Stegostoma tigrinum: one gene and its partners. The protein of the gene in region 1 purifies or fractionates together with the protein of each later gene. This does not show direct contact. Links are inferred from orthologs where the notes say so. Each region holds a gene or a part of one and is shown in the gene's direction. Other genes may lie near its edges.

The links.
Region 2: the proteins of caM kinase-like vesicle-associated protein (region 1) and nucleolar and coiled-body phosphoprotein 1-like purify together in Homo sapiens (affinity purification with mass spectrometry; 3 studies listed by BioGRID and IntAct, counting the BioPlex papers as one, with this or other methods). This does not show direct contact. The link is inferred for Stegostoma tigrinum from reciprocal best matches to the Homo sapiens genes CAMKV and NOLC1.
Region 3: the proteins of caM kinase-like vesicle-associated protein (region 1) and glypican-1-like purify together in Homo sapiens (affinity purification with mass spectrometry; 3 studies listed by BioGRID and IntAct, counting the BioPlex papers as one, with this or other methods). This does not show direct contact. The link is inferred for Stegostoma tigrinum from reciprocal best matches to the Homo sapiens genes CAMKV and GPC1.
Region 4: the proteins of caM kinase-like vesicle-associated protein (region 1) and zc3h18 purify together in Homo sapiens (affinity purification with mass spectrometry; 3 studies listed by BioGRID and IntAct, counting the BioPlex papers as one, with this or other methods). This does not show direct contact. The link is inferred for Stegostoma tigrinum from reciprocal best matches to the Homo sapiens genes CAMKV and ZC3H18.

Annotation. Positions count from the first base shown.
Region 1 is NC_081364.1:13,128,060-13,135,889, reverse strand, and holds the start of caM kinase-like vesicle-associated protein, read left to right. Parts: upstream 1-4,812; 5' UTR 4,813-5,236; intron 5,237-6,415; exon of another isoform or gene 6,416-6,511; intron 6,512-7,830. UniProt on the Homo sapiens protein: Does not appear to have detectable kinase activity.
Region 2 is NC_081390.1:19,023,917-19,031,112, reverse strand, and holds the start of nucleolar and coiled-body phosphoprotein 1-like, read left to right. Parts: upstream 1-4,182; 5' UTR 4,183-4,202; coding exon 4,203-4,310; intron 4,311-7,196. UniProt on the Homo sapiens protein: Nucleolar protein that acts as a regulator of RNA polymerase I by connecting RNA polymerase I with enzymes responsible for ribosomal processing and modification.
Region 3 is NC_081367.1:8,396,978-8,404,406, reverse strand, and holds the start of glypican-1-like, read left to right. Parts: upstream 1-4,414; 5' UTR 4,415-5,037; coding exon 5,038-5,188; intron 5,189-7,429. UniProt on the Homo sapiens protein: Cell surface proteoglycan that bears heparan sulfate. Binds, via the heparan sulfate side chains, alpha-4 (V) collagen and participates in Schwann cell myelination.
Region 4 is NC_081369.1:66,842,977-66,849,915, reverse strand, and holds the start of zc3h18 (zinc finger CCCH domain-containing protein 18), read left to right. Parts: upstream 1-3,920; 5' UTR 3,921-4,066; intron 4,067-4,913; exon of another isoform or gene 4,914-5,047; intron 5,048-6,939.

The DNA of each region.
Region 1 (7,830 bases):
CCTGCTGCGTTCATCCAGCTTCACAATTTGTTATCTCTGATTCTCCAGCATCTGCAGTTCCCATTATCTCCGAGCTGGAAAAGGATGAGGGGAAGATGGATCATTGTTGTTTCTGAAAAATATGGTCAGCTACATTTTAATTTGCGAATGGTGTAACTAAGGAAGATGTGCTAACAAGAATAGAAATCACTGTAAACACAGATTCTTTGTTGCAGGCAAGTGGCTCTGGTTTAGTTTAAGATTATGTTTGGTATGGACTGGTTGGGCTGAAGGGTCTGTCTCCATGCTGTATGACTATGTTTGGAAAATCTTTAATTGGATACTCAAGGATATGAGGATATGATTTAATCTCTAGTCATAACACCACAAACACTCTTAATGAAAAGAGTTCTCAATTGGTGGCTTGTTGTTAAAGACAAGTAGCTAAATGTAAACAGTGACACTCATGAAAAGTAGAAAGGTCTCAGCACACCTAAAAACTTGCATTTTGTGACTGTTAATGGTACATTACACCAACAATAATTTGTGTAACTCATTTAAAAATAAAAGCACCAGGAGAATTATAACAGGTCACAAAATGTTTAGTCAAAAAGGCAGATTTTCAGGAGTGACTCAAAGCAAGGAAGTGAGGCAATGCAATGGAAAGGTTTATCATTGGCCTGCTAAATTTGAGGGCTTGAGCAGCTGAAGGCCTGACCACCAGTGGTAGAATCATTAAAACCAAGGATGGCCAAGAGGCCAAGTTTGAAGCAGTACAGAGAACTTGAAGATCTATAAAACAGGATGATGACAGAGAGACAGGAAATTGAGTTTGCAATGCGGAATCAGGAACTCAAATCCCAGAAAAGTTCCACAATACAAGCGCAGATCCCATGTTTCCTTTCGATGTAATTAAAAGATGCTGCTGGAAGTGGAAAAACAGGGACAGTGAGGGAGCAGACGAAGGAACTGATCAGTGTATGTAGGTGCTAGTCAGCCCCAGAGAGGTGTTTCCAATTGCGGGGAGGTATATTTGAACCCCACAATAAAACCAACAGCTTTGCCCTGAAATATGTTAGGCCTTGTTGGGAAAAGAAAATGATATTTTGAGAACAGACAGGCCCCTTAATAAGTTTGTTTATACATATGTAAGTATAAGCTCCACTTAGAATAGAACATGAAACAATTCAGTCAGGAACTTTTACTGCAATTTTCCTACCATGTTGTAGCCTGGAGCAATGGATAGCGATTATAAGAGGTTCCAAAGTTCCTTCTATGGCTCACAAGGACACTATTCCACTCTAACCACCTCCTATAGGCACACGTTGGCAAGATTTGCGGGTAGATCACTGACTTGTTTTCCCCAGGTTACTAAGTGGAACTCGAGTAAGGAGCTTCCACCTCAGAGATTGGGTGACCAGTCCCTTGGACGAAAAGATCTCGCAGGAACATAAACAAAAACAAATTTGCTGCAAAAGCTCAGCAGGTCTGGCAGCATCTGTAGAGGAGGAAAAGGAGTTAACGTTTCGGGTCAGGTGACCCTTCCTCAGAACTGATGGTGGCTGGGAAAATGCCAGTTTATATGCAGAAAATGGGGAGGTGAGTGGGGTAGGGAGTAAACGATAGGATAGAGCCCAAAGAGAGAGAAAGAGAGTTGGACAGACAAAGGAGTTGCTAACGATCAGGCTGAGAGGGTGGATAGTTGTTATTGGGGACTGTTAGTGATAAACAACAGGGGGCGTGTAGTGGCAGGTTGTGTGGTAACAAGGACTGGTGTGTGGGGTAGGGGACTGGGACGTGGGAGAGTTTAGGCCCTAAAACTATTGAATTCAATATTGAGTCCTGAGGGCTGTAGGGTCCCCAAGCAGAAAATGAGGTGTTGTTCCTCCAGTTCCTCCAGCTTGCACTGGGCTTCACTGGAACACTGTAACAAGCCAGAGACAGAGATGTTGGCCAGGGAACAGGTTGGTGCATTGAAGTGGCAGGCAACAGGTAGTTGAGGGTCTTTTTTGGAGCAGAACATAGATGTTCTGCGAAGCAGTCACCAGGTCTACGCTTCGTTTCCCCAATGTCGAGGAGACCACATTGTGAGCAGCGAATGCAGTAGACTAACTTCTGAGAATTGCAGGCGAAGTGTTGCTTCACCTGGGAGGTATGTTTGGGCCCTTGGATAATGAAGGAACTTAAGGAGTGTTAATCAGCAGTGCATGTGTGACCTGGCACCAAAATTAAAACCTGTGAGGATCCTTTGAGAACTTCTGCAATTTTCATTTTGAAAACCAACCCACCACTGGGTTCTGGCCCAGGGGATCTCAGCAAATACAGAAACTGAGATGAGAAACACTCCCTGCTGGAACGATTGAGAAATCATTTCATACCATGCCTGATTCACCACAACCTGTGCAATTCCTGTTACACTGAGTATAATGAAGGCAATTCAACCATCGCTGGCAATTATCTTCATAAACTGTACAGGACAACCCTCTGAACTCGTGGTCAATCTTGGGAGATTGCAGGAGGGTACTGAATGGTGTAAAGTAGATCTGACACAGATAGGTATAAATCTTATGGAGTTAGGTGTACAATAAATAATCTCCCAGAGTTGGGTTTGCAATATCTCAAACCGGTGCTGGGTGTGCAATGAACCCTCTCCCAGTGCTGGGTGTGTAATGAACCCTCCCCCCAGTGCTGGGTGTGAAATGTATCCCCCCCCAGTGCTGGGTGTGTAATGTACTCTCCCCCCCCCAGTGCTGGGTGTGTAACGTACCCTCGCCCCAGAGCTGGTTCTGTAATATAGAACATAGAACATTACAGCACAGTACAGGCCCTTCGGCCCTCGATGTTGTGCTGACCTGTCATACCAATCTCAAGCCCATCTAACCTACACTATTCCATGTACGTCCATATGCTTATCCAATGAAGACTTAAATGTACCTAAAGTTGGCGAATCTACAACCATTGCAGGCAAAGCGTTCCATTCCCTTACTACTCTCTGAGTAAAGAAACTACCTCTGACATCTGTCCTATATCTTTCACCCCTCAACTTAAAGCTATGCCCCCTCGTGCTCGCTGTCACCATGCTAGGAAAAAGGCTCTCCCTATCCACCCTATCTAACCCTCTGATTATTTTATATGTTTCAATTAAGTCACCTCTCAACCTTCTTCTCTCTAATGAAAACAGCCTCAAGTCCCTCAGCCTTTCCTCGTAAGACCTTCCCTCCATACCTGGCAACATCCTAGTAAATCTCCCCTGCACCCTTTCCAAAGCTTCCACATTCTTCTTATAATGCGGTGACAAGAACTGTACACAATACTCCAAGTGCGGCTGCACCAGAGTTTTGTACAGCTTCACCATAACCTCTTGGTTCCGGAACTCAATCCCTCTATTAATAAAAGCTAAAACACTGTATGCCTTCTTAACAGCCCTGTCAACCTGGGTGGCAACTTTCAAGGATCTGTGTACATGGACACCGAGATCTCTCTGCTCATCTACACTACTAAGAATCTTACCATTAGCCCAGTACTTTGCCTTCCGGTTACTCCTACCAAAGTGCATCACCTCACACTTGTAATATACCCTCCCCCCAGAGCTGGGTGTGTAATGTACCCTCCCCCCCAGTGCTGGGTGTGTAATGTACCCTCCCCCCTGTGCTGGGTGTGTAATGTACACTCCCCCCAGAGCTGGGTGTGTAATGCACACTCCCCCCTCCCTGTGCTGGATGTGTAATGTATCCTCCCCCAAGAGCTGGGTGTGTAATGTACACTCCCACAGTGCTGGGTGTGTAATGCACCCTCCCACCCTGTGCTGGGTGTGTAATGTATCCTCACCCCCAGAGCTGGGTGTGCAATGTACACTACCCCCAGTGCTGCGTGTGTAATATACCCTCGCCCCAGAGCTGGGTGTGTAATGTACACTCCCCCCAGTGCTGGGTGTATAATGTACCCTCCCCCCAGAGCTGGGTCTGTAATATACCCTCCCCCCAGGGCTGGGTGTGTAATATACCCTCCCCCCAGAGCTGGGTGTGTAATGTACACTCCCCCCAGTGCTGGGTGTATAATGTACCCTCCCCCCAGAGCTGGGTCTGTAACATACCCTCCCCCCAGGGCTGGGTCTCTAATATACCCTCCCCCCAGGGCTGGGTGTGCAATGTACCCTCCCTCCCTGTGCTGGGTGTGTAATGTACACTCCCTCCCTGTGCTGGGTGTGTAATGTACACTCCCTCCCTGTGCTGGGTGTGCAATGCACCCTCCCTCCCTGTGCTGGGTGTGTAATGTACACTCCCTCCCTGTGCTGGGTGTGTAATGTACCCTCCCTCCCTGTGCTGGGTGTGTAATGTACACTCCCCCCAGGGCTGAGTGTGTAATGTACACTCCCTCCCTGTGCTGGGTGTGTAATGTACACTCCCTCCCTGTGCTGGGTGTGCAATGCACCCTCCCTCCCTGTGCTGGGTGTGTAATGTACACTCCCTCCCTGTGCTGGGTGTGTAATGTACACTCCCCCCAGGGCTGGGTGTGTAATGTACCCTCCCTCCCTGTGCTGGGTGTGTAATGTACCCTCCCTCCCTGTGCTGGGTGTGTAATGTACACTCCCCCCAGGGCTGGGTGTGTAATGTACCCTCCCTCCCTGTGCTGGGTGTGTAATGTACACTCCCTCCCTGTGCTGGGTGTGCAATGTACCCTCCCTCCCTGTGCTGGGTGTGTAATGTACCCTCCCTCCCTGTGCTGGGTGTGTAATGTACACTCCCCCCTGTGCTGGGTGTGTAATGTACACTCCCTCCCTGTGCTGGGTGTGTAATGTACCCTCCCTCCCTGTGCTGGGTGTGTAATGTACACTCCCTCCCTGTGCTGGGTGTGTAATGTACACTCCCCCTCTTCCGTTCCTGCCTAATCGCTTGAAGTCAGTGTGTATCCAGCGCTGCGCTGCTCCGCTTCTTTCCTGGTCTCTCTGACTAGTGTTGTTTGCCTGGCTCCCAGCTCGCTCTGCCTGAATCTCACTCTCTGACTGACTCAAACACCATCCAGCAACTGATCGGACAGCAGCACATGTGGCTCCCTGAAGAGACTGAAGCCCATGGTTCGCGGGGCAGTGGTCCATCTGGAGCATCGTACTTCTCCTCCAAGCAGAGCAGAGAACTCAGCGAGTGGGGCTCCAGTCCCTTTCATCGCCTCTTGTAAATAACACAGTCTTGGGACTCATTTAACCGGACAGGTGCCGCAGGAATTAGACCACACGTCCACCAAGTGAAAGCATAACAAAGTAAGTATTGTATTTGGCTGTACTGGCAGATTTGCAGGGGATGCCGGCTCGAAGCGTTGTCTGTAGAATCACAGGTTAAAGCGGCGATCTAAAATACCTTTTAACGTTGCCTCATTTTTTTGGCTACATTTTGGTTAAGTTTTTTTAAGTGCCTGGTCACCAATGCTAGGCTGTTGACGAAGTGTTCCAAATTTGGGCTGTATTCAGTTTGGAAGTATGTGTGCATCTGTGTGTGTGTGTGTGTGTGTGTGTATGTCTGTGTCTGTCTGTCTGTGTTATGTGTACGTATGTGTATCTGTCTGTGTCTGTCTGTCTGTGTGTATGTGTACCTGTGTGCGTGTGTGTGTGTGTGTATGTGTATCTGTCTGTGTCTGTCTGCCTGTGTGTATGTGTACCTGTGTGTGTGTGTATGTGTATCTGTCTGTGTCTGTCTGCCTGTGTGTATGTGTACCTGTGTGTGTGTGTATGTGTATCTGTCTGTGTCTGTCTGCCTGTGTGTATGTGTACCTGTGTGTGTGTGTGTGTGTGTGTGTGTCTGTGTGTGTGGAATTGCCAGCACCCTGGATAATCAAGCACTTGGAGTTTCTTATACACCGAAAACAAAGTTGGGACGCACAACAATGCCGGGTGCTGTCATTCTGTTTGGAAACATGTGTTAAGTGGAAAGATAATGCCGCTGGAAGAAAATTGTGACCTGGGTCTATAGCTTAAACTGTTGTTGCAGGGTGATTGTGGACTGATCCACATGGCACAGCAATTTAAACAAAAAATCCTTTTATTTTCAAAATATTCTCAGAGATGAATCTTGAAAAAAAGAACTTCCACTAGAAGCAATCCAGATTTTGCTTTTAGTCAGAGCTGTGTTGGGGTTTAAATCTGTTACATGTATGAAGGGGACTCGATTGTACAACAGCACCCTCGTCTGCATGAAGTGGTTACTAGCAGAGTTACAGTGGACAGCACTTTACTGGAGGTGCTATGGAAAATGCACATAGTTTGTCAGTTTTAGTGTTTTTGCACGTGTGTGTTTGTGTGAGGGGCTGGATTTTTGGACATATATACCCTGTAACATTTTCCACAACAAGAGTCAAGTTTGTGCTTTGTGCTATAAAGCTTTGACCGTCGCGCCTATTTAGTTTGGATAGGCAGCATGCATGAAAAAACAGAGCTTAATTCTTTACTATTACATAATACTGCGGAGATTTCGATGTGTCGGCGCCAGATTTCACATCTTCGCCCCCACTCCCCTCCAAAAATCTAGATACACTTCTGAAGGTACCTTTTTTTTTGTTACTTTCCCATCTTTGTAATTTGTCAACGTTCGAACGAGTTGTTGAAGCTGCACTTTATAACGCACTCTTGAGTTCGCAAATGCTCCGTTCTGGACACAATTATCCAGCTACGTAACTGAAGTACAGCCTTTTCAAGCAGATTGTCATCAGCGAGAGTGTGCTAGTGTGATCCCAGGTCCAAAGATACTTCATTCTCCCGGGATAATCATTCCAGTCCGCGTTACCCTCCACATTTAGCTTCCTTTCTTAAAAAAACACAAAACTCGTAAAAGATTTCTTCCTCCCTCATTCGTATCACGTTATGTATTCCAGTGTTTCCTATTCCCTTTCAATAACCCGCTGACTGGTTGATAATACAAATATAACTCAACTGAGCTCCTTATTCTTCATAGAAACATAGAAGATAGGACCAGGAGGAGGCCATTCGGCCCTTCCAGCCTGCTCCATCATTCATCACCACCATGGCTGATCGTCCGACTCAATAGCCTAATGCTTTCTCCTTTGATCCCATTCGCCCTAATGCTATATCCAGCCTAACGCTCCCACAGCGCAGGAAAATAATAGTAGTTCAGAGTATCCAGCTTTAAATTTGGAGGGACTGTTTTGATTTGGAGAATATTGCATTTGTAATTTGAGTCATTGAGTAAGAAAGGCTAAATATTTGCACATCTGACCTAAACTATTCCAGCGGCAAAGATCCTGATCAGTAAAATGTGTTTTAGTTTGGGTCTTAACAAAAATGAAGGATTTATCAACGTAACTGGGAGAAGATGTACTGAAGATGAGTCTGCCTATCTGCTGTCATTCTGGTTTGTCACTTCGGCTTGGAAGCTGACTTGAGAAGTCAAGTGGAGGAAATATGGTATAAAATGGGCAGGTTTGCTCTCAAATCCTCAGTACTGATTCTTCAGGGGCCCATGTTTGGGTACAAGTTCATAGGAAGCTTGAATTAAACATTTCTCTGGGCTTCCATGTGTCACTTCCACGGGTCCCGGACTCGAATTAATGACCAGCTACAGAATAAATCTCCTTCTGGTACTGTGACAATTTGCTGGAAGTCACAAATATTTTAATCCCAGTAGTGCTTGCGATTGCACTGCGCTGCCCTCTTCGTAAAAAGCTACACTGTAAATCCGGAGTTTGCAATATTATAATCGGATTGCCCGTGAACATCCCTTGCACCTTTATTTCGTTCTCAACCAGTGCAGAGGGCCACTGCTGAAAGATCGTTCAGTTTTTCTCAAGTTGACTCGTATAAATGTCTTTGTTTTATGTATCAAGGAAGCTCGCAAATGGTGGTGA
Region 2 (7,196 bases), on another chromosome or scaffold:
GAAGTAGACACACTTCAATCCAACTTCTTGCTTGCCGGTGCCATCTTGCTTCCCTGAAACTTTATTTCGGACCACCCTACTCTCAACCTTTTCTATAGTCGAACTACAATTTTGGTGCCCATCTCCCTGCTGAATTAGTTTAAACCCACCCGAACAGCCTTAGCAAATTCCGCCCCCAGGATATCGGTACCCCTCTGGTTCAGGTGAAGACCATCTTGCTTGTAGAGGTCCTACCTACCCCAGAAAGAGCCCCAATTATCCAAGAATCCAAAACCCTCCCTCCTGCACCATCCCTGTAGCCACGTGTTCAACTCCTCTCTCTCCCTATTCCTCGCCTCACTATCACGTGGCACGGGCAACAAACCAGAGACAACAACTCTGTTCGTCCTAGCTCTCAGCTTCCATCCTAGCTCCCTGAATTTCTGCCTTAAATCCCCGTCTCTCTTCCTACCTATGTCGTTGGTGCCAATGTGAACCACGACTTGGGGCTGCTCCCCCTCCCCCTTAAGGATCCCAAAAACACGATCAGAGACATCACGGACCCTGGCACCTGGGAGGCAACACAACAACCGTGAGTCTCTCTCGTCCCCACAGAACCTCCTATCTGTCCCCCTAACTATGGAGTCCCCAATGACTAATGCTCTGCTCCTCTTCCCCCTTCCCTTCTGAGCAGCAGGGACAGACTCTGTGCCAGAGACCTGTGCCCCACTGCTTTCCCCGGTAAGTCATCCCCCCCAACAGTATCCAAAACAGTATACTTATTGTTGAGGGGAACGGCCACAGGGAATCCCTGCACTGCCTGCTGGTTCCCATTCCGTCCCCTGACCGTAACCCATCTGCCTTTTTCCTGTACTTGAGGAGTGACTACCTCCCTGTAACTCCTCTCAATAACCCCCTCTGCCTCCCGAATGATCTGAAGTTCATCCAGCTCCAGCTCCAGTTCCTTAACGCGGTTTTCAAGGAGCTGGAGTTGGGTGCACTTCCTGCAGAGGTAGTCAGCAGGGACACTAGTGGTGATCCTTACCTCCCACATTCTGCAGGAGGAACATTCAACTGCCTTGACCTCCGTTCCCATTATTCTAAATTCCCAAAGACTTAAAAAAAGAATAAAAAATAAACTTGTTACCTTACCAATCAAGCACACAGAACCTTTTTTTCGGTTAGAGGAGGAGGATGGGTGGAAGACACTACCCGAGTAGTGTTTCAGGTAACGCAACCACACAAATATATTACCTCACTTACTCACCAGTCCCATGTTGGCTCCTGCTCAGCGTCCCTCCACCTATTCACGAGGTAAGCTTTTTAACGATTCAAAAACAGTGACTCATCAGCTTCCCGACAGGCTCCTGCTCCAAGCTCCTGCTCGCGCTGCTGCTGCTGATAACATTTCCTGGGTTTCTGGATTGGTAGTCCAGTGACAACATCATAGAACATAGAACATTAGGGGTGGCACGGTGGTGCAGTGGTTAGCACTGCAGCCTCACAGCGCCAAGGACCCGGGTTCGATTCCCGCCTCAGGCGACTGTCTGTGTGGAGTTTGCACATTCTCCCCCTGTCTGTGTGGGTTTCCTCCGGGTGCTCCGGTTTCCTCCCACAGTCCAAAGATGTGCAGGCTAGGTGGATTGGCCATGCTAAATTGCCCATAGTGTTCAGGGTTATGGGGGGATGGGCCTGGATGGGATGCTTCAAATGGTGGTGTGTACTTGTTGGGCTGAAGGGCCTGTTTCCACGCTGTAGGGAATCTAATCTAATCTAATCTAATTACAGCACAGTACAGGCCCTTCGGCCCTCTATGTTGTGCCGACCTGTCGTACCGATCTCAAGCCCATCTAACCTACACTATTCCATGTACGTCCATATGCTTGTCCAATGACGACTTAAATGTACCTAAAGTTGGCGAATCTACTACCATTGCAGGCAAAGCGTTCCATTCCCTTACTACTCTCTGAGTAAAGAAACTACCTCTGACATCTGTCCTATATCATTCACCCCTCAATTTAAAGCTATGCCCCCTCATGCTCGCCGTCACCATCCTAGGAAAAAGGCTCTCCCTATCCACCTATCTAAACCTCTGATTATTTTATATGTTTCAATTAAGTCACCTCTCAACCTTCTTCTCCCTAATGAAAACAGCCTCAAGTCCCTCAGCCTTTCCTCGTAAGACCTTCCCTCCATACCAGGCAACATCCTAGTAAATCTCCTCTGCACCCTTTCCAAAGCTTCCACATCCTTCTTATAATGCGGTGACCAGAACTGTACACAATACTCCAAGTGGGGCTGCACCAGCGTTTTGTACAGCTTCACCATAACCTCTTGGTTCCGGAATTCGATCCCTCTATTAATAAAAGCTAAAACACTGTATGCCTTCTTAACAGCCCTGTCAATCTGGGTGGCAACTTTCAAGGATCTGTGTACATGGACACAGAGATCTCTCTGCTCATCTACACTGCTAAGAATCTTACCATTAGCCCTGTACTTTGTCTTCCAGTTACTCCTACCAAAGTGCATCACCTCACACTTGTCTGCATTAAACTCCATTTGCCACCTCTCAGCCCAGCTCTGCAGCTTATCTATGTCTCTCTGCAACCTACAGCATCCTTCGTCACTCTCCACAACTCCACCGACCTTAGTAATAAAATGTGAGGCTGGATGAACACAGCAGGCCAAGCAGCATCTCAGGAGCACAAAAGCTGACGTTTCGCGCCTAGACCCTTCATCAGAGAGGGGGATGGGGAGAAGGAGCTGGAATAAATAGGGAGAGAGGGGGAGGCGGACCGAAGATGGAGAGTAAAGAAGATCGGTGGAGAGAGTATAGGTGGGGAGGTAGGGAGGGGATAGGTCATCAACCGGTTTACTCTCATCTACCTGTTTGGTCACCTTCTCAAAGAACTCAATAAGGTTTGTGAGGCATGACCTTCCCTTCACAAAACCGTGCTGACTATCCCTAATCAATTTATTCTTTTCTAGATGATTATAAATTCTATCCCTTATAACCTTTTCCAACACTTTACCAACAACTGAGGTAAGGCTCACTGGTCTATAATTACCAGGGTCGTCTCTACTCCCCTTCTTGAACAGGGGAATCACATTTGCTATCCTCCAGTCGTCTGGCACTATTCCTGTAGACAATGACGAGTTAAAGATCAATGCCAACGGCTCGGCAATCTCCTCCCTGGCTTCCCAGAGGATCCGAGGATAAATCCCATCCGGCCCAAGGGACTTATCTATCTTCACCCTCTGTAGGATTTCTAATAACTCTTCCTTGTGAACCTCGATCCCACCTAGTCTAGTAGCCTGTATCTCTAAGCCATCAACATCCCCTTTATTGGTGGACAGGTCAGGACTGCATTGGTATTGTTGAATCTAGAGGTAAAGTGTGGGGAAATGTATGATGAGAGCTTCAGCAGAGTGGAAAGTGGTTCAAGTGAAGTCTGTCTGCACTAGCACACGCAGGTGGAGTCAAAATGATCCGTACGTGTGATGCAATGCAGATTACACCGTGAACATAAAAGCCTTACAATGCGAATAAAACAAAACACAAGAAATGTGAATGCTGAAGATATGAAACAAAAACAGAAACACATCTGGTCTGGCAGCATCTGTGGTCAGAAAGTATGTTGGATGCTCTGCCCACAGTGGTAGTGGAGTCAGATACTTTAGGGACTTTAAAGTGACTCTTGGAATAGGCACATGGAGGATAATAAAATGTAAGGTATGCAGGGTAGTTTGATCTTAGTAGGATAGTAGGTTGGCACTACATCGTGGGCCGTAGGGCCTGTACAATGCTGCAGTGTTCTATGTTCTAACAAATTGAGTCCAGTGACCCTCCTTCAGAACTCCTGCAAGACAGAAAGAAATTGCTGCTCAGGAAAAGTAGCAACATCTGTGCAGAGAGAAAACACAGTTGACGTTGCAAGTCCACTAACCCTTCTTCAGAACGCCCTACAATGCAAAAATCAGAAACTGCTGGAGAAACTCAGAACATCTTGCACAGAAAGCAGAGTTAACGTTTCGAGTCTAAATGACTTTAAAACGCCGTCAGCACCTGGGACGGATCCGCGCGTGCGCAGAAAACGCCGGCCGGCTCTGGGTCACGTGTTGCACAGACTCCGCGCAGCCGCAGTGGGCATCAGTGAGGTGTAGGCGATTGGTACTGAGACCGGGGGGGCGGGGGGAGGGGAGGACGTGTTATTGTGCGCAACATGGACGCGCGTGTGGTGCCCAGCGACCTGTACCCGCAGATTTACGGTTTCCTGCTGCAGAATAAGTTCGACAAGGCTGCCAAGCAGTTCCTGAAGCAGTCAAACGTGGTATGTTGCCACCTCTGCTCTGCTAAGATCGACTGTTCGTTAGTTCTCTTTCGACGTGGTGGCCGCACTTCTGTGGCCTTGCTCACGGGCTTCGATAACGGCACTCCGGAGAAGGCCGGGCATGCGCGGAGGGAGAGGAACGTTGCCCGGGAGCACGCGGGGCCGGAATGGAACGTTCCCCGGGAGCACCTGGGCAACGTTCCATTCCGGCCCCCAAGTGTCCCTGAATGTACCTCAGGGGAGATACATGCAGCATCTTACAGCGTTGCTTTCAAACCGCATGGACCCGGCACACGTGGCCCATAGTTTCTCCTGCCACGGATGGTTGTGCATGTTTTTGTCTCTCTTTTTAAATCGACCTGCTCAGACATGTTATGACCCTCGTCTCTGTGGTAGGTGGGATTCGAGGTGTTTTGGGGTTTGGGACGGGCGGGGGCAAGGGGTGGGTGTTGAACGTGAGGAAGGACTACCCCGCACCGGTCTGTAACATGCTGCCTGCTGAAGGAGGGTCATCGCGGTGACACACACAGATTTCCTAACTTATATCCGATTGGTGCTTGAGGGGAGTTGGAACTGAGTGGGGGAAATGGAGCAGAACAGGTTGGGGGACAAAACTGGGACCTATCTGATGAAAGGTCTGGGCCTGAAATGTCAGCTTTTGTGCTCCTGAGATGCTGCTTGGCCTGCTGTGTTCATCCAGCTCCACGCTTTGTTATCTGGGACCGGAAGGCTGGGTTTGGGGCATGGGGTCAAGTAGGAGTATAAGGGTCAGAGGGGCAGCAAGATGAGTTGGAGGCAAAGTGGGCAAACAGGGCCATTTGGGAGGAAGGGGCAAATGGGATGTGGTGACAAGAGCCAGGGTATGGTGAAAGGTATGGAAGTCAGCAGAGTAGAAGGAAAATGGGATTGTGGGGCAAGAAATGGGTGGAATGAGAGAATGGGTGGCACAGCGGTTAGTACTTCTGTCTCCCAGTGCCAGGGACTCTGGTTTGAATCTACCTTCAGGTGACTGACTGTGTAGGGTCTGCATGTGAATGAATTAACTTTATTGTCCTAAGTACACAATGAGGGTAGTGAAAAGTTTTTATCCATTGCTGCTTGCGGCGCCATCTTCGGCACAGGGGTACATAGTTACAAGATCTTAGAAGGCATGGAAATAAAATGCCCAGTGTTGCAGAAATTAAAGTTCAGAACAATGGTCTTCCAACCCAGACCACAGTGGCACCTAGTGCCCAGTCCGCACCAGGCCCAGGCTCCAGACTTCAGACTTCACCTTCAGGATTGTGAGCATGGGAGTTCGCTTCAGACTGCCACACTGGGAGGCCGCTCCGCCTGGCCAGGAGTCGTTGGAGGCCAAGAGAGGAGGAGGAGGAGGAGAAGAAGAGGGAAAAAACACCAAAAGGAGGGAGGAAAAGTGAAGAAAAGAAAAAGAAGTGCAGTTGAGGTCCGGCTGGAGTGTCATACTCTGCCGCCATCTTGGAATTTCTGTCTGACTTGGTTTCCTCCCACAATCCAAAAATGTGCAGATTAGGTGGATTGGCCATGCTAAATTGCCCATAATGCTCCGGAATGTGCAGGCTAGGTGGATTAGCCATGGGAAATGCATGGTTACAGGGATAGGGTTGGGGGGTGGGTCTGAATGGGATGCTTGTCAGAGAGCCGGTGTGAGCTCGATGGGCTGAATGGCCTGCTTCCATACTATCGGGATTCTCTGAAAGGGGCTGATGGGCACAAAGCCATGGAGGAGTGCACATGGGACCAGGGACGGATATGGGGTGGAACAGGAATGGTGTAGGACCAGTGAGAATGGAACAGGGGAGGGTCTGAGAATGGTACTGATTAGATTATTGTCGAAGGGCTGAATGGCTTCTTGGTATGTTGTCACAGTTCTACGTAATAATCTACCTGTCTCTGCACTGAGGGTGGAAGGCTCAGAAGGAATGTGTTCTAAGTACAGAGGTGCCATACTAAGCAGGGAAAGCTGACAGACAGGCAAATGTGTAAAAACTTCTTTTAAAAAAGACACTGGTGAACACATTGCTGCTATGACTTACACCTTATGAATGCCCTGTGATTGGACTTAACGGAAATAGATTGTTTCAGATCAATTTGTTACTTAGAGATTTGCTTTTCTTTTCTTGATCTCCTCCCCATAAACTCTGAACTGACTAGCAGGATAATTGTTAAGATAATAAAATGTGAGGCTGGATGAACACAGCAGGCCAAGCAGCATCTCAGGAGCACAAAAGCTGACGTTTCGGGCCTAGACCCTATACTTTTAAGGATAATTGTTAACGCAGTTACAGGGACAGGTGAAGTAGCTCCTTCCAGTCTTGGTCAAGGAATTGAATCCATCGTGAGCAATAATGGTTAAGGGCTGGAAGTAAATATGTTGAGCTGAGATTAACTCACAACCTAATTATTGGGCCATTTTGCAAGCTCTGTTTGCCAGCCGATGAGGAACTGTCCAGCTCCATGTAGCATTTTCCTCTTGGTCTGTAGTCTTTTAGATTACAGCACTTCAGGCGCATATCCAAGTACTCCATAAATATTATGACAGTTTCTGTCTCTAGATCCCCACTACCTTTCGAGTGAAACAATTTCCCATCAACTCCTCTCTTAAACCTACCTTTTGTCCTAAGTCTGTGCCCAGGGTTTAGAACCCTGCCTCCTCCCGTTAACTCAAAGCCTTTCTACCTGGAACCCTCATAATTTTATAAACCCCCTTCATGGACTGTTCTGTTTCAAAGAAAATGACCCTACCCTATCCACTCTTTCCCCTATATTGAAATCCTCCAGTCAAGAGAGCATTCTCATAAATCACTTCTGAATTCAAGGCATCTGTGGATTGATCTGCAAATTGTTCCACATCGCGTGAATTAATTC
Region 3 (7,429 bases), on another chromosome or scaffold:
TATCTCAGACTCCAGCATTGGCAGTTCCTACAATGGCAGAGATAGGAGCCACTGGCTTTTCGCCAGATTTGAACTAAATTGAACTCCTTCTTCTGGGAGTCTAATACCTTTGCTTTCGATGACATTGTTCTAGTAGCTTTCAGAAGGTGGATTATGCGGGGATTCTGCTGCTTGTCCACGGCACACTAATTTTTGTTTCTGTCAGGAGTCTCTGTGACTTTTCACCATCTTAGTGCAACTTCTGGCCTTTGGTTTGCTGGTGGAATAACCATTGTAATGGTAGAACTGCCCACTCAACGTGACAAAGAAACTAAGAATTAAGTGGGCACACACAGTTGACTTGTAATAACTACATACACCACAAAGCACAACACTGAAGAGCTGCTGACTTACTGTCATCCAATTTTATTTGTTAAAATCAGGATCTACCCCAAGGTCACCTCGTTAAGTGTTTTCTCCCCAGTGAGATCAGCTATCTCAGTAATGGTTGACCATGGTACCTTGGATTTGGGAGCTTATGAAGTTTATGAAGAATGATTGGGCAGACTTGTTCTCTATTCACTGGAATCAGGAAGAATATGAGGTTATCTTATTGAAACATTAGGGCCTAAGATGACATATGAGGCTTCAAGGTTATGGGCTATGTACTGGAAAATGGAATTAGAATAGTTAGATAGTTGTTTGTGACCAGTTCTTTTTTTCGATGGGAAAAGAGCATTCTTCCGTGCTGTAGACCTCTATGATTCTATGATATGGTGGATGCCAAAAGATGTTTCTGCTTTTACAAAGATTTTGAACCTTGCTTGGAAGTCTGGATCCGTCAATTAAGATTAAAATGCAGAGGATTTAGGCAGAAGTAGATCAACGTTTAACTCACAAAGCAGACAAAGGGTATTGAGAATATGCAGGAAAATGGAGCTAAGTGTGAAATCAGATCAGCCATGTTCTTGTTGATTGGTGTACTCTTGTTCCTAATGTATCATTTTCAGTGCCATCAACATAGGCTTCAGTCATAGAGGCATCACTTTTCCCCTTTTACTTTGGGCCACTTACAACTGCAATTCCATCTGGTTTCAGGTCTTCCTCCTCTGCTTCTTTCAGGTAGGCCCAACTCCATCACATTTCCTCTTTCTCTCCACAACAGATGGCCATACTCTTGTAATGACTTTTCAGCTGGCTTCTTTGATGGTCTCACAATCTGATACCCGGATGTGCTGATTCTCGATCTTGTCCTTTCTTGTCACTTAGAGTTGTAGAGGCACACAGCATGGAAATAGACCCTTCAGTCCACTTGTCCATGCTGACCAAGTTTCCCAAACTACACAAGTCCCATTTGTCTGCATTTGGCCTATATCACTCTAAATCTTTCCTATTGGTGTGCCTTTCCAAATATCTTTTAAATGTTGTAACTCCACCTGCACCTTTCACTTCTCGTGGCAGTTCATTCCACATACAAACCACCCTCTGTGTGAAAAAGTTGCCCCTTCACTTTATCTATGCCCCTCACAGTTTTATAAACATCAAAAGGTCACTTCTCAAACTCCTACACTCCAGCGACGCTCCAGTCCAGTGTCAGGCATTTGCTTATAGCTCAAACCCTCCGGCCCCAGTAACATCTTTGTAAATCTTTTCTACACACTCTCCAATTTAATAACCCACTGCTCACATTCATCTCAGTACTTGCATCTCATGAGTGTCCAGTCATGGTTTCTCTCCTGCAGATATTGTCCAAATTTCATCCATGTCCCCATATCCTTTGATCCCTCTATCTTCAGAACCATATCTGACTTCTTTTTGAAAACATTCAATGTTTTGGCCTAACCTGTTTTCTGTGCCAGAGAATTCCAAAGGCCCCCAACTTTCTGGGTGAAGAAATTTCTCCTTGTCTTAATCCTAAATGACCTTAAAATGTGACTCCTGATTCTGGACTCCTCAGTTGTTGCAAACATCCTGTATCTACTCTGTCTAGTCCTGTTGGAATTCAATAGGTTTCTATGAGATTTATGAGTCACTAGGAGTGGTAAGACCTGCTGGAGAATGATGGCTTTTCTGCAGATGGCTTATTTTCAGAAGATTTATCTTCAGATTGACGCTTTTTCTAAATGTGGGCCTGGGAAGAAAACCATCTCTTGAAGTATACATTGATAAAATTGGCTCTCGATGTAACCGTAGCCCTCATACACAGAATTTGTGGGCAAATTATTTTGATGAATCCTAATCTAAACATTCTCCAACCAGATCAGCTATGATCTTAACAAATGATGGAGCAGGCCCTGTCTGCTTCTAATTTGTTCATTTGTATAAAATAGTGAAGGAAATGAAAATGTTAATTTGTCATGTTACATCAAATAAAATTTAAAGAACAGGGCAAATTGAAACCTATATTCAGTAAATTTAAAATGTTATGAGGAAGTACTTCATCATACAATGAGTAATCAATGCTTGATTCAAATTCACTTTCTGATCAAGTAAAAATGTAGATGCATGCACAGTCACATTAAAAATACGTTTGGCAAGCATATGAACAGGAAATGCTTGGATGGGTATGGGTTGAATGCATGCAAGTGGGCTAGTTTAGTTTGGGAGACTTGGTCAGCATGCACGAGTTGAACTGAAGGGCCTGTTTCTGTGCTGAATGACTATGTTACAAGGCTAGTCTCATGACTGTCTTTTAGACTGTTCATTTTCAGTGATATATGTTTTGTATCACTGCACTTCAAACACAGCTAGGAACAAAAGGCATGTTGTGCTTTTCTGACAATAGTGTCTACGTGGGTGGATCAGGATCGATTGTCAGTGATAGCAAACAATTCATGATATGGAAGTGTAAACATTCAGCCTTCTAAATAACCCAACACATACATACATAAACACTACTGGTAAAGGGAAACAAGAAAATTGATTTCTCTGCAGAGATTCACTTTGGGAAAAGAAAACTTTTGTCCAATAGCTGTTAGTTCTTGAAGGTAAAAATGATGAGGTGTGGAAAGTTCAGATGACATTCATTCAGATATTCTGGCATGTTAACAAGAGTCTATTCATCTACAGTCGTCCCTGGGATGTTTGCAAATGTTTCAGGAAATATCAAGACAAACTCCTCAGATGGTTCTCATGAGATCAGGTGAATCTTGAGTTCCAGTACCACAATGGATGCACTTTTTTTTGTTTTTCAGAAACAGGAGAGCTGATCTGGGAAGCTTCTTTCCTTCAGCAAGCTAAAGGACCAATACCGAATCCGAAACATTGAAAATGCAGAAACGAATTCACTGGTGATTAAAATAAACCCAGACAGGTGTCCTCCACCATACAAGTCCAGCAATTTGTTGAAACCAGGAGGTTTCCACGAAATGCCTGACTTTAAAAACATGTTCCAATGCCTAAAGAGAACTTTTAATGAAAAACTCAGTCCAGGTATTCGCAGATGATGAAATTGATCCATTTTTTTCCGCAATACTTAAAGATTCCCATCCTTAAAAACATTAACTGTGAAGCACTATTTGGAGCTCTTTCTGGCAAACATGACGGACAACTTACATCGCAATTTCTGAAAAGTGAGGCAGAGGCGGTAACCCAATGGTTTACAATGCAACTGTTTTACTGTCTAACTGTAATGGTTAATTACTTTCAACCTCTTTAAGGAGTGGAGATTGTAAAATTCTTTCTATTTGAACCGTGTTTTAAAATTCATATCCCTAAAGCAGATCTTTTGTTCAGAATGGCAAACTCAGATCTCCGAAACGTCCTGTTCATTCCTCCCACCTAAAGGCAGGCGTGTCTTTTATACTTGATTGTTTTGCCTTCACAGACAGAGGAGTTGATGATAGGTATTGTTTTGACCTGCAGGAGTGGCAATGTGGAAGCAGTACACACAAAGACCAGACCTTAGTAGTCCTGTTCCAGCTCAGGGGCGATAGGTTAGAGGTTGGGAACCCAATACCACGAAACCCTCCTTTATCAATCCGACTTGAAATCTTTTCCGGGGCCTGGTTATCTCCGTAACACAATTGGCAAAAAGTAAGCAGTAGACTCAGTCAAAAGGCTATTTTAGTGGCTCTCCCACTTCCCCGCACATCACTGTGGGAATAAGGAATTCTTTCTCTTGAAAATTGCAATGCATTTACAGACCAGGTGAACAGTGCGTTTGAATTAGGATCACTTGAGTCCATTCCCCGTTGTAAATTTGAGGAGGTGTGTGGCTGACAGGGTTAAATGAATGGAAGATTCATAAAGGCGGACAGACACTGACACACACAGGGACAGCAGTGCACACTTGCTCACTGGCACTCTGATGGGAGGATAAGAAGACATTCCTGCGGCTCACCGACAATGAAGAGAAAAAAGGGAGGTGATTGACAAAGCCAGGGGCCGTCTTCATTGGTCCCAGACCGCGTCTGTCGTAACATCCTGCTAGAGGTTTTGGGGGTGGAGTTGGAAAACTCAGTAAGGCATCGTCTGCACAGAGAGAGACAGAGGTAGGAGGTGGGCACTCTGTCTCTGTCTGTGCCAGGTCGGACAGATTCTTCACATACACATACACACACACACCTTCTCCAACTCTCGAGACTCTTCATCATACATCCCGAAACTACTACAACCGGTAACAAACTCATTGGGGGAGAGAAGGAAGGGCAGAATTGGAATTAAGAAGAAGACTCCCAGGATTGTGTTCATGTATTTTAGAAGTAGCATTTGTTAATTGTATTCCTTTGTGTGGTCTGTGGGCTGTGTTTTTTTTTAACTGAGTCATTAATGAACCCGTTTGCATCGGCAACTACAGAAGATAAATTGAAATTCGCGTTTCTTTGCTGAAGATTGTAAGTCACAAGCCAGAGAGAGAGAGAGGTGAACAAAAAAAAGCAAGAGTCGGTTGGAATTCCTTTCCTCCTGCAATTGACTTGGGGAAACTTTTGTTTGGATTACGTTGATCCCAGTTTCTTTTGAAAACTCGATTTTGGATTTTTTTGTGTGTCTCCTGTGCAAACAAAAAAAAACACACACACACTCAGTTCTTGATTTGGTTGCACCGTCCTTGCGAAGATGATGTGGATTTCGCTGTGCCTGGCTTTACTGGGACTCCTTCCCTCCCCTGTTGTGGGAGACCAGAGACCCAAGACCTGTTTGGACATGAGAACGCTGTACAACTCCAAAGGGTTCTCGGTGACCGCGGTGCCTTCAGCTGAGATCTCGGGTAAGAGGGGAGAGGGGTTGGGGGAGAGCTGGTAAAGGGCTCTCTCTTGCCTGGGGGATTTGTATATTTTGGAAGCTACAACTAAAAGACCTTCAGAGAGGAAAAAAAGGACACTAAAATATAGAAACTAGGATGGAAATTGCATTGAGATTGTTTCCTAGCTGACGAGACAAGAAATGTATTGTGAGAACACACGTAAGGTCAATGCATGACTTATTTAAGGTTATGATCATGTGTGTTTCAGTCTCCGTGATGTTTAAAACAATGCGGGTTTTTTTTGAAAGGAGGGTATTTGGCGTGCGTTTTTTGGATGAGGGCACTGGGAAATCGCTGAGGGTCGACTGGTGAAAGAAACAGAGGATATTGGAAGCGAGCAGGAGCCAGAGCTCTTTGTTGGGAATGTGTAATAACATTACCCAATCCCCTAGAGAGAGAAAAATCTAAATGGACTGGGTCTGCTCTGTCCAGTGTGGGAACAGAGCGCTTTTAGGGGCGTGAGCTGGACCCTGGGGGCGACATCCGAAGCGTACAGTGAATCCCCAAATCCCACACTTTGAAAAGTCAAACAATGGCCTTATTTTTAGCAGCAAGGAATTCCCCTGTCTTCGCATGTATATGTGCATGTGTGTGAGCATTCTTTGCCAGAGAGCCTTTTGTTTGAGAATGCCTTGCTCCTTTTGCTGGTTTGTTGAATATGCCAGCTGAGAGTTGGCACGGTGTGGCCATCCTCATGCTGCGTGTTGTGTGCGGGGCGATGAACGAGCGAGAGATTTCCCTGCGGCCTCCAGCGGGAGCTGATGGCAGGGCTCTGTCTGTTTTTGCTGGGGGCTGTTCTTGTCAATGCTGCTGCTGTTGGGGCAGACCTACCTCGGTTCCCCCTTGTCCCCCAGCCCCGGGCCTTCTAAGCTGATGAGACTCAAGGACAATAGCAGTGACTGCAGAAAGATAACTGCCGTGTTGTTTGAAGGGCATGTAACTGTTGAGTAGTTTCCTGGCTACTATTTATTGGCACTGGAGGAGGATACACTTCAATATGGATTGCTCGTTTTTGAGGGGAAATGGGAAGATTTGAAGAAAAGCAGCAGGTTGTTTTATTCACCCCAGATTAAATAAAACAGAGGACTGGTGCATTCCCTTCCAACAAATTCTTGCTATTGCTGTGTAGTTCAACAGAGAGCACTTCTCACCCAGTGATTCCCTGGAAAATTTGTTTGTTGGTGTCGCAGTTGCCTATTTTGTCGCCTTGTCCAACGAGATGGGACGTTGGGTATGCCGTTCAGCGACAGGGGCATCGCAGCTCCCCCTGAGTGCAGGCGTTGCTGGACCAGAGCAGCCCTGGCACAACTGAGCTCCCTACCCAGCCCCCGCTTCCGTAATGCAGCGAGCGGCGGTGACCTCCTGTCGTGTTTCCTCCCCCCGATCGGTAAATTGCTGCTGTTACCCCTGCACTGTTTAAGAAAGATCGCCAATGGTTAATGCCCGTCAGTTAACCCTATACTGGCCGCTTCCTGGCTTGCAAGTGCACCCTTGTACACTTTGTACCTACCCACTGAACGGCTGGCAACAGCTTTAGCCTCCGCTGCTTGTAAAAGTTCCTTAGGCATGAGCGACCATCTAGGGAATTGAAGGTCTTCAGAACAATAGTTCATTGGCTATCGGCACTTTGAGAATTCCTGAGAGGGTAAATAGGATTGTATCACTAAGTCTCCCCTGTACTCTTATGCACTTGTTATTCTCTGATTGTCGGTCCCCTATTATACACCTTTTGTTTTCATGATAACCCGTTGTAACAAAGGATCATCTCCCATTCCTAACATTCTGCAGTCTTACTGGTTCACCTTGCACTATATAAATGCAAGGCACTGTTGAATAGGCAGAAATTGGTTTGGTTTTTCCTGGGCTCATTGTGAATTCTTGGGAGTTTATGATAATTCCGTTTTCCTAATCAGACTCCCTGACGATCAAGAGATAGTAGGAACTGGTAATGCTGGAGAATCTGAGATAACAAGGTGTAGAGCTGGATGGACACAACAGGCCAAGCAGCATCAGGGGAGCAGGAAGGCTGACATTTCAGCCCTAGACTCTTCTTCAGAAAAGGGGGAGGGGGAGGGGAGGGGGTTTCTGAAATAAAAAGGGAGAGGGGGGGAGGCGGATTGAAGATGGATAGAGGAGAAGATAGGTGGAGAGGAGACAGATAGGTCAAAGAGGCAGGGATGGAGCCAGGAAAGGTGAGTATTGGTG
Region 4 (6,939 bases), on another chromosome or scaffold:
ATTGGTTAAATGTGGTTTTGATGAAAAGGGCTGTCATTTACACCTCACCCCTGGAATTTAGCTCTTTTTGAACCTAGGCTGTAATGAGGGCAGGAGCTGAGTGGCCCTGGCAGAACTCATCACTGAGCAGGTGTTGCTTGATAGTACTGTTAGTGACACCTTCCATCACTTTACTGATGATTGATAGTACACTGATGGGCCGGTAATTGGCCAGGTTGGATTTGTTCTGCTTCTTATGTACAGACATACCTAGGCAATTTTCCATATTGTTGAGTAGATGCTAGTATTGTAATTGTACTGGAATACAAATAATAGCTTGACTAGGGGAGTGGCACGTTCTGGAGCACAAGTTTTCAGTACTATTGCTTGGATGTTGTCAGGGCCCACAGTCTTTGCAGCATCCAGTTCCTCCAACCATTTCTTGATATCACATGGAGTAAATCAAATTGGCTGAAGATGGACATTGGTGATGCGGGTGACCACTGGTGAAGGCAGAGATGGATTGTCCACTTGGCAATTGTAGCTGCATCCTAATCCTTTGTGCTAATGTGTTGGGCCCTTCCATCATTGAGGATGGGAACATTAGTACAACCTTCTCCTCCACTGAATTCTGCAATTGTCTTATCACCATTCAAGACAGGATATGGCAGGACTTCGAGCTTGGATCTGATCCATTGGAACCAGAGCGGCAGGTCAGCAAGTGGAGGAATTGAGGGGAAGATAGATGTTAGGACCTGTGAATCAGAAAGAAAGGGCAGGCACGATGGTACTAATGGGCTGAAGTGTGTTTATTTCATCACACGGAGTATTACAGGTAAGGCTGGGGCGCTTAAAGCTTGGATCACTACATGGGACTATGATGTTGTCACCAATAGAGACTCAGTTTAACGAGTGACAGGAGTGGTTACTCAAATTTTCAGGTTTTGTTGTTTTAGATGAGATGAAAAGGAAGGTGAAAGAGGTGCAGTTGCATCACTAATCAGGGAGAAAGTCACATCTGCACTCAGAGGGGACATGCTGGAGGGCACATCCACTGAGGCAATACAGGTAGAGCTCAAAAATAAGAAGGGTGCAATCACTCCAATAGGATTAATACAACAGCCACCAAGACATTGAGGATCAAGTATGCAGGAAAATTATGGAAAGATACAACAACACGGCTGTCATAGTGATGACTTTAACTTCCCTAATAATGACTGAGCCTCCCTTAGAGCAAGAGACTTCGACTGGGCAGAATTGTTAAGTGCATCCAAAGGGGTTTGTGAGTGCATGGAATACTTTGCCAGTGGAAGTCGTGGAAGCAGAGTCATTAGTAACATTTAAGCGACTGCTGGACATGCACATGGACAGCAGTGAATTGAGGGGAGTGTAGGTTAGGTTATTTTATTTTTGGATTAGGATTATTCCACGGCACAACATCGTGGGCCAAAGGGCCTGTACTTTTCTATGTTCTCTGAAACAGTATGTACATAGCCTAACTAGAGGAAGGGTCATACTTGACCTTGTTTGGCTAATGAGTCTGGCCAGGTGACAGCCTTTCAGTGGAAGAGCATTTTGGAAACAGTGATCACAACTCCTTAAGTTTTAGGATAAATATGAATAAGTAAAAATGGAAAGGATGGCAAATGATACAAATCAGAAAGGAAAACAGAAGTTGCTGGTAAAGCTCAGCAGGTCTGGCAGCATCCGTGGAAAGAAATCAGAGTTCCCATTCGGGTCAAGTGACCCTCCCACAGTTCTGACGATTTATCCTCACAGATGCTGCCAGAACTGCTGAGCTTTACCAGTAATTTCTGTTTTTGTAGCTATGAATAAGTCAGGACCTTGTGGGAAGGCACTGAATTCGGGGAGGGAAAATATTAGGCAGGAGTTAGGGAGTGTTAATTGGGAGGACCTGTTATCAGGCAATCACAGATCAGCACATTCCAGTAAGGAGGAAGGAGAAGGATGGCAAGGTAAGGGACCATTGGATGACAAGGGAGATTGAGAATTTAGTTAAAAGGAAAAAAGGAAGCATATGTAAGGATTAGGAAGCTAAAATAGGACAGGGCCCATGAAGAATACAAAGAAAGCAGGAAAGGAAATCAAACAGAGAATGAGAAGAGCGGCAAGAGGCAATGAAATGACCTTGGCAAGTAGGGCTAAAGAGAATCTCAAGGCATTCTGTACAAACATTAAAAACAAGAGGATAACTTGGGAGGAGGCAGGGTCACTCAAGGATAAAGGAGGGAACTTGTGCTTGGAGGTAGAGAATGTGGGCAAGATCCTAAATGAGTACTTAGGATCAGTATTCACCCAGGAGAAGGAAATGGAAAATAGTGAGATTAGTGTGGAGCATGCTCATATACCAGGGAATTTTGAGGACAAGAAAGAAGCAGTTTGAGTTTCTTGAAGAGCATTAAGGTGGATGTGTCCCCAGGGCTTGATGGTAAATACCCAGGTAATTGAAAGAGGCAACAGGGGAGATTTCTGGGGGCCTTGACCAAGATCTTTGTCTCCTCATTAGCCACTGGAGGGCTCCTGGAGGACTAGCAAGTAGCTAATGTTCGTTCAAGAGAAATAGGGATCATTCAGGAAACTATAGACCATTGAGTCTCACACTGTTTGGGAACCTTTTTACTCGAGATTTCTTACAGATAGGATTTATATGCATTTGGAAAAGTATAGCCTAATTAGGGACACGATGTGGAGGTGCTGGCATTGCACTGGGGTGGACAGGGTCAGAAGTCACACGACAAAACCTAACCCTAACGCTTTCAGAGCGCCACTCATTCATCTGACATCCAAGTTCACCTGACAAAGAGAGGGTTAAAAAAAACTCGGGCTGTTTTCACTGCAGCAGTGGAGGCTGAGGAAAGACTTGATAGAAATCTATAAAATTATGAGATGCATAGAGTGTGTCGACGGTCAGAATCTATTTCTCAGAGTTGAAATTTTTATTATTGGGGGCATGCATTTAAGATGACGGGGGAATTTTCAAAACAGATGTGAGGGGCAAGTTTTTTTTATACACATGGAGTGGTAGGACTCTGGAACGCGCTGGTGGGGGTGGTGGTGGAGGCAGATACGATAAAGGGCATTTAAGGGATTTTTAGACAAACACACGAATTTGGTAGGAATGCGGGGATTTGTACCAAGCGCATTGGTTTAATTTAGTGTCATGTTCCTCACAATCTCGTGGGCCGAACGGCCTGTTCCGGAGCTGTACAGTTGTATGAAGTACGGGCATGGCATAGCGATTCCCCTCCCGACAGGGCTTGGTACAGATACCTCGCCGTCCGTGGACATTGAACAGCGGCAACAATCCCCGAAACCCACAACCTCACATTCACTCAAGTCCCAGATCAGCTGACTGAATGTGCCCAATGAACTGGTTGCAAAGGCGGTCCCTGTTTGAATATTTCCCGCTGACGGCCGGACAGGCCTCGGGAACCGGTGAGATAACAAGGCGAGGGGCTGGATGAACACAAAAGCTGACGTTTCAGGCCCAGAGCCTTCATCAAGAAGCTTTTCTGACCAAGGGTCTAGGCCCGAAACGCCAGCCATCCAGCCCCACACTTTGTTATCTCTGATTCTCCAGCATCTGCAGTTCCCGTTATCCCCGGGGGCGGGCGAGGGCCGGACAAGAACACAGCAGGCCAAGGAGCAGTGAACGTTTCGGCCATTCGCTGTCTTCAGGACTGGACGCGGGGGGGGGCGGGGGTAAAACCCAAAACACTGACCGCTCCTTTCTCCCAGCCCCCTGTTTGTCTACCTGGATTCCAGCGCCTGCGGTTGTGTTCGTCCCTAACGGGCTCCGGGTCCAAGCGGGCGTGTGGCCATTCGGTTCTTCCTTTCCCTGGGCTGAGGAAGGGGGCGTGTCCCGAGGTCGTGGGGGGGGGGGCACGTACAGTCAGCTGACTCCTCCCGGCCAATGGGCGGGCGCTAATGGCGGAGCTGCCCGGCTCGCGCTCGCTCGCTGCAGCCTCGGGCCCGGCCTCGCGCTCTCGCCGTTCCCTCGCTCAGAGCGCGGCCCGGCCCCGCTCGGCTTGGCCCCCATTGCGGCATACCGCCTACTAAAGTGCAGGTGAGTCCTCGGGCGGGGGGGGGTGGGTGTAGGGGAAGCGGCGATTACTCTAACTCCCACCCCCCCCCCCCGCTCACTCGCTCGCGCACACAAATCGTAGGCCTCGGCCTCTTACTGGCGGTAGCCCCGCACTCGGCCTTTAGGCCTCGGGCTCCTCATGGGCGGGAAGCTGGGTCAGGAATTGCAGTTCCCGTTGTTGTCTTGGCTTTGTCGGAGCTGCTGAGGTAGTAGAGGGCCCCCACACCCGGGATCCCGCTCTGCGCCAATAACAGCGAGCGAGGAGCCGGCTACGATGCATCTGGAGCCTGAGGTTGTTGAGGCGGGGGATTGGTGTGGGCGGCCCTTTAGGGCTGCCTTTACCAAGCAGGCCCTTTTGCCTTCTCTCTGTCCTCCCGTGCCAGTGCTGATACCTCATGTCACATGTCCCCAATTGGCCTTGTGTGCAAACTGATCCCTGTAAATGGCCTTGTCTCTGATCTGCAGTGTGTTGCAGTCTGAGGTGTGCATCCCAGTTGATGCCGTTCCCCCACCCCGAGTTAAAAGATTGGTTCTCAACTGAATCAAATCGCCAGATTTCAGTTTCCAGTAACCCTGCGCGGATCGGGTAATTTGGGAAAATTTACGAGGATCCCAAGGATTCCTCGGTTGATTGAAGACTCTCTTATAGGAAAGTGAGCAAGTAAAGCAACAGGTTACAAGATCCTTCCTGTCGAAAGTCATTTACCCTGAAGTGTGAAATTCTGCAGAACCATCTATAAATCTTATGCATGCTACAGATTGCTTAATTTTGAAGTGCAGGCATGTACTTGCGCAAAAAAAATGAACATCATTTTGGACTTATTTGTAGATTCAGGATTATATCGCAACAGGAGTTGGTCATTCAGCCTGTCAAGCCTGCCCTGCCATTCAGTGTAATCGTGGCTGGTCGAACACATGAATGCCTTTTTCCCCACCCCATCTCCGTAATCCTGTATATTACAGGTAATCAAATCTATCAGTCTCTTAAACATATTTAAAACTGGGCCTGTGCTGACCTCTGGGCATAGAATTCCAAAAGTTCAGAACTCTGTGTTTTAAAAAAAAATCTCGTCTTGGATCTAAGTGGCATTCCCTTATTACCTGCCTCTCTCAATTTGCACACTGGGTAAATGTACTGCTTGGTGTGCTATTGCTCTGTATAAACCAAGATGATCCAGGTTACATTTCCAGTCTGGGTTGAATACCTTTTCTCGTTTAGGTCAAGTTTGAGACAGTTGGCCTTTAAAACACCTTAACACATGGGAAACATCAGCCAATATTCTCAGCATTGGCTAATTTGATAACTGTCCTCTAACTAATGCTAGTGCTTGAGTAGAGAGAGAACCTGGCCGAACTATAATGCTACACATTCAGAAAACTTGTCAGTACCAACTGTCTAGGCATTGAAAAGGCGCAGTTATGCAAGATGGTGGGGATAAACTGCACCCATAGAATGATTAACATCCTCCATCCTTGAGAGAGAGAGGGAGGAGGCAGTCGAGGGATTTGGGGAAACAATAATGTAATTGTCCTGCCCAAAACAACCTGCACCCAAATCAATATTATGATGTAGAGCTTACTCATGTGGATCTGTTAAATCTAGCAGTTGGCTCTGCAGTCATGACTTATTGTTCGTTCTGACTGCAAAACTATCTCTAGTCCCAAAGCTGAGTTGATCTCATGCCGTTATAGATTTGTAAAGTTGTCCCCCTGCCTTGAGTGAATGCCATAACTCCTCTTGTCCAGCAGTATTTAAATTTGTCCTCTGTAGAGCTCCTGTGCAATTATTGAGATACTTCAGGAACTGTGTGTCCTGATTTAAGATAGTATCTACTACCTAGAGAATAGTGTTTTTGAGTTACAGTGGAAACAATGGACTTGTAGGACAATGGACGTAGAGGAACTGATGTATTATCATCCTCCTGGTGGACCCCGGCTGATTACATGTCTTGATTTTTGAAACCTTTTGCCTATTTTTAGCAAAGCCCCACTGTTCTTGATTAAGAGATAACACAGTATGGAGCCTGTGAAGGGGCCCAACCCGAAACGTTAACTTTCCTGCCCCTCTGATACTGCCTGGCCTGCAGTGCTGCTCCGGCTCCATACTGTGTTATCTCTGACTCCAGCATTGGCAGTTCTTAGTATCTCTGAGACCTTTCTTGATTTAAAATGTATTTGTGTTTCTAAATGGTCTCAAGGTAGTACAGTACTGGAGTATTGTGGACTGTTGCAGGTGCTGAATCTAGTTGAAATGTTTGAATTTTCTGTCCAAATTTGTGTAAATGCTGGTACTCGGTGTATTTCTAATGCATTGTTGTAACTATCAGTCCTACATGTGATGTCAGAAGTACTGTAATTTGGATATGCATGAAGGAAGATAACTCTTGTTAAAAATTTTCCTTTGAAATTGATCCACAAATGGATCAAAACAAAAGATGAGGACAAGGTACGGGAATGGAGATCAATTGAAATTTGTATTGTTCCAGTTTTATTCTTAGAAATGCCACAGATTCAGTTTAGTTTGAGAATTGTACCTTTGGACTGGACAATTACAAGTGTCCCTCAGTTATTTTAGAAAAGAGAGAAAGATAAACTAGGTAACTGCATATAAGGTTCTTGGGCATGTAAGGTAGATGTGAAAATTTTGTTTTCTGTATTCAAGTGATTTGGACCAAAAGGCACAATCACAGAGTAAGGAGTTGCCTAGTTAGGGCAGAAGTAGGAAGAACTTCTCCAAGGTTAATGAATATATGGAATTCTTATGCTATAGAGACTGGGTCATAAAATATAATTACAGCTGAAATCGACTGTTTTCTTTAAACAGTAAGGGGAAGCCTATTAAAGGGGTTGTGGGG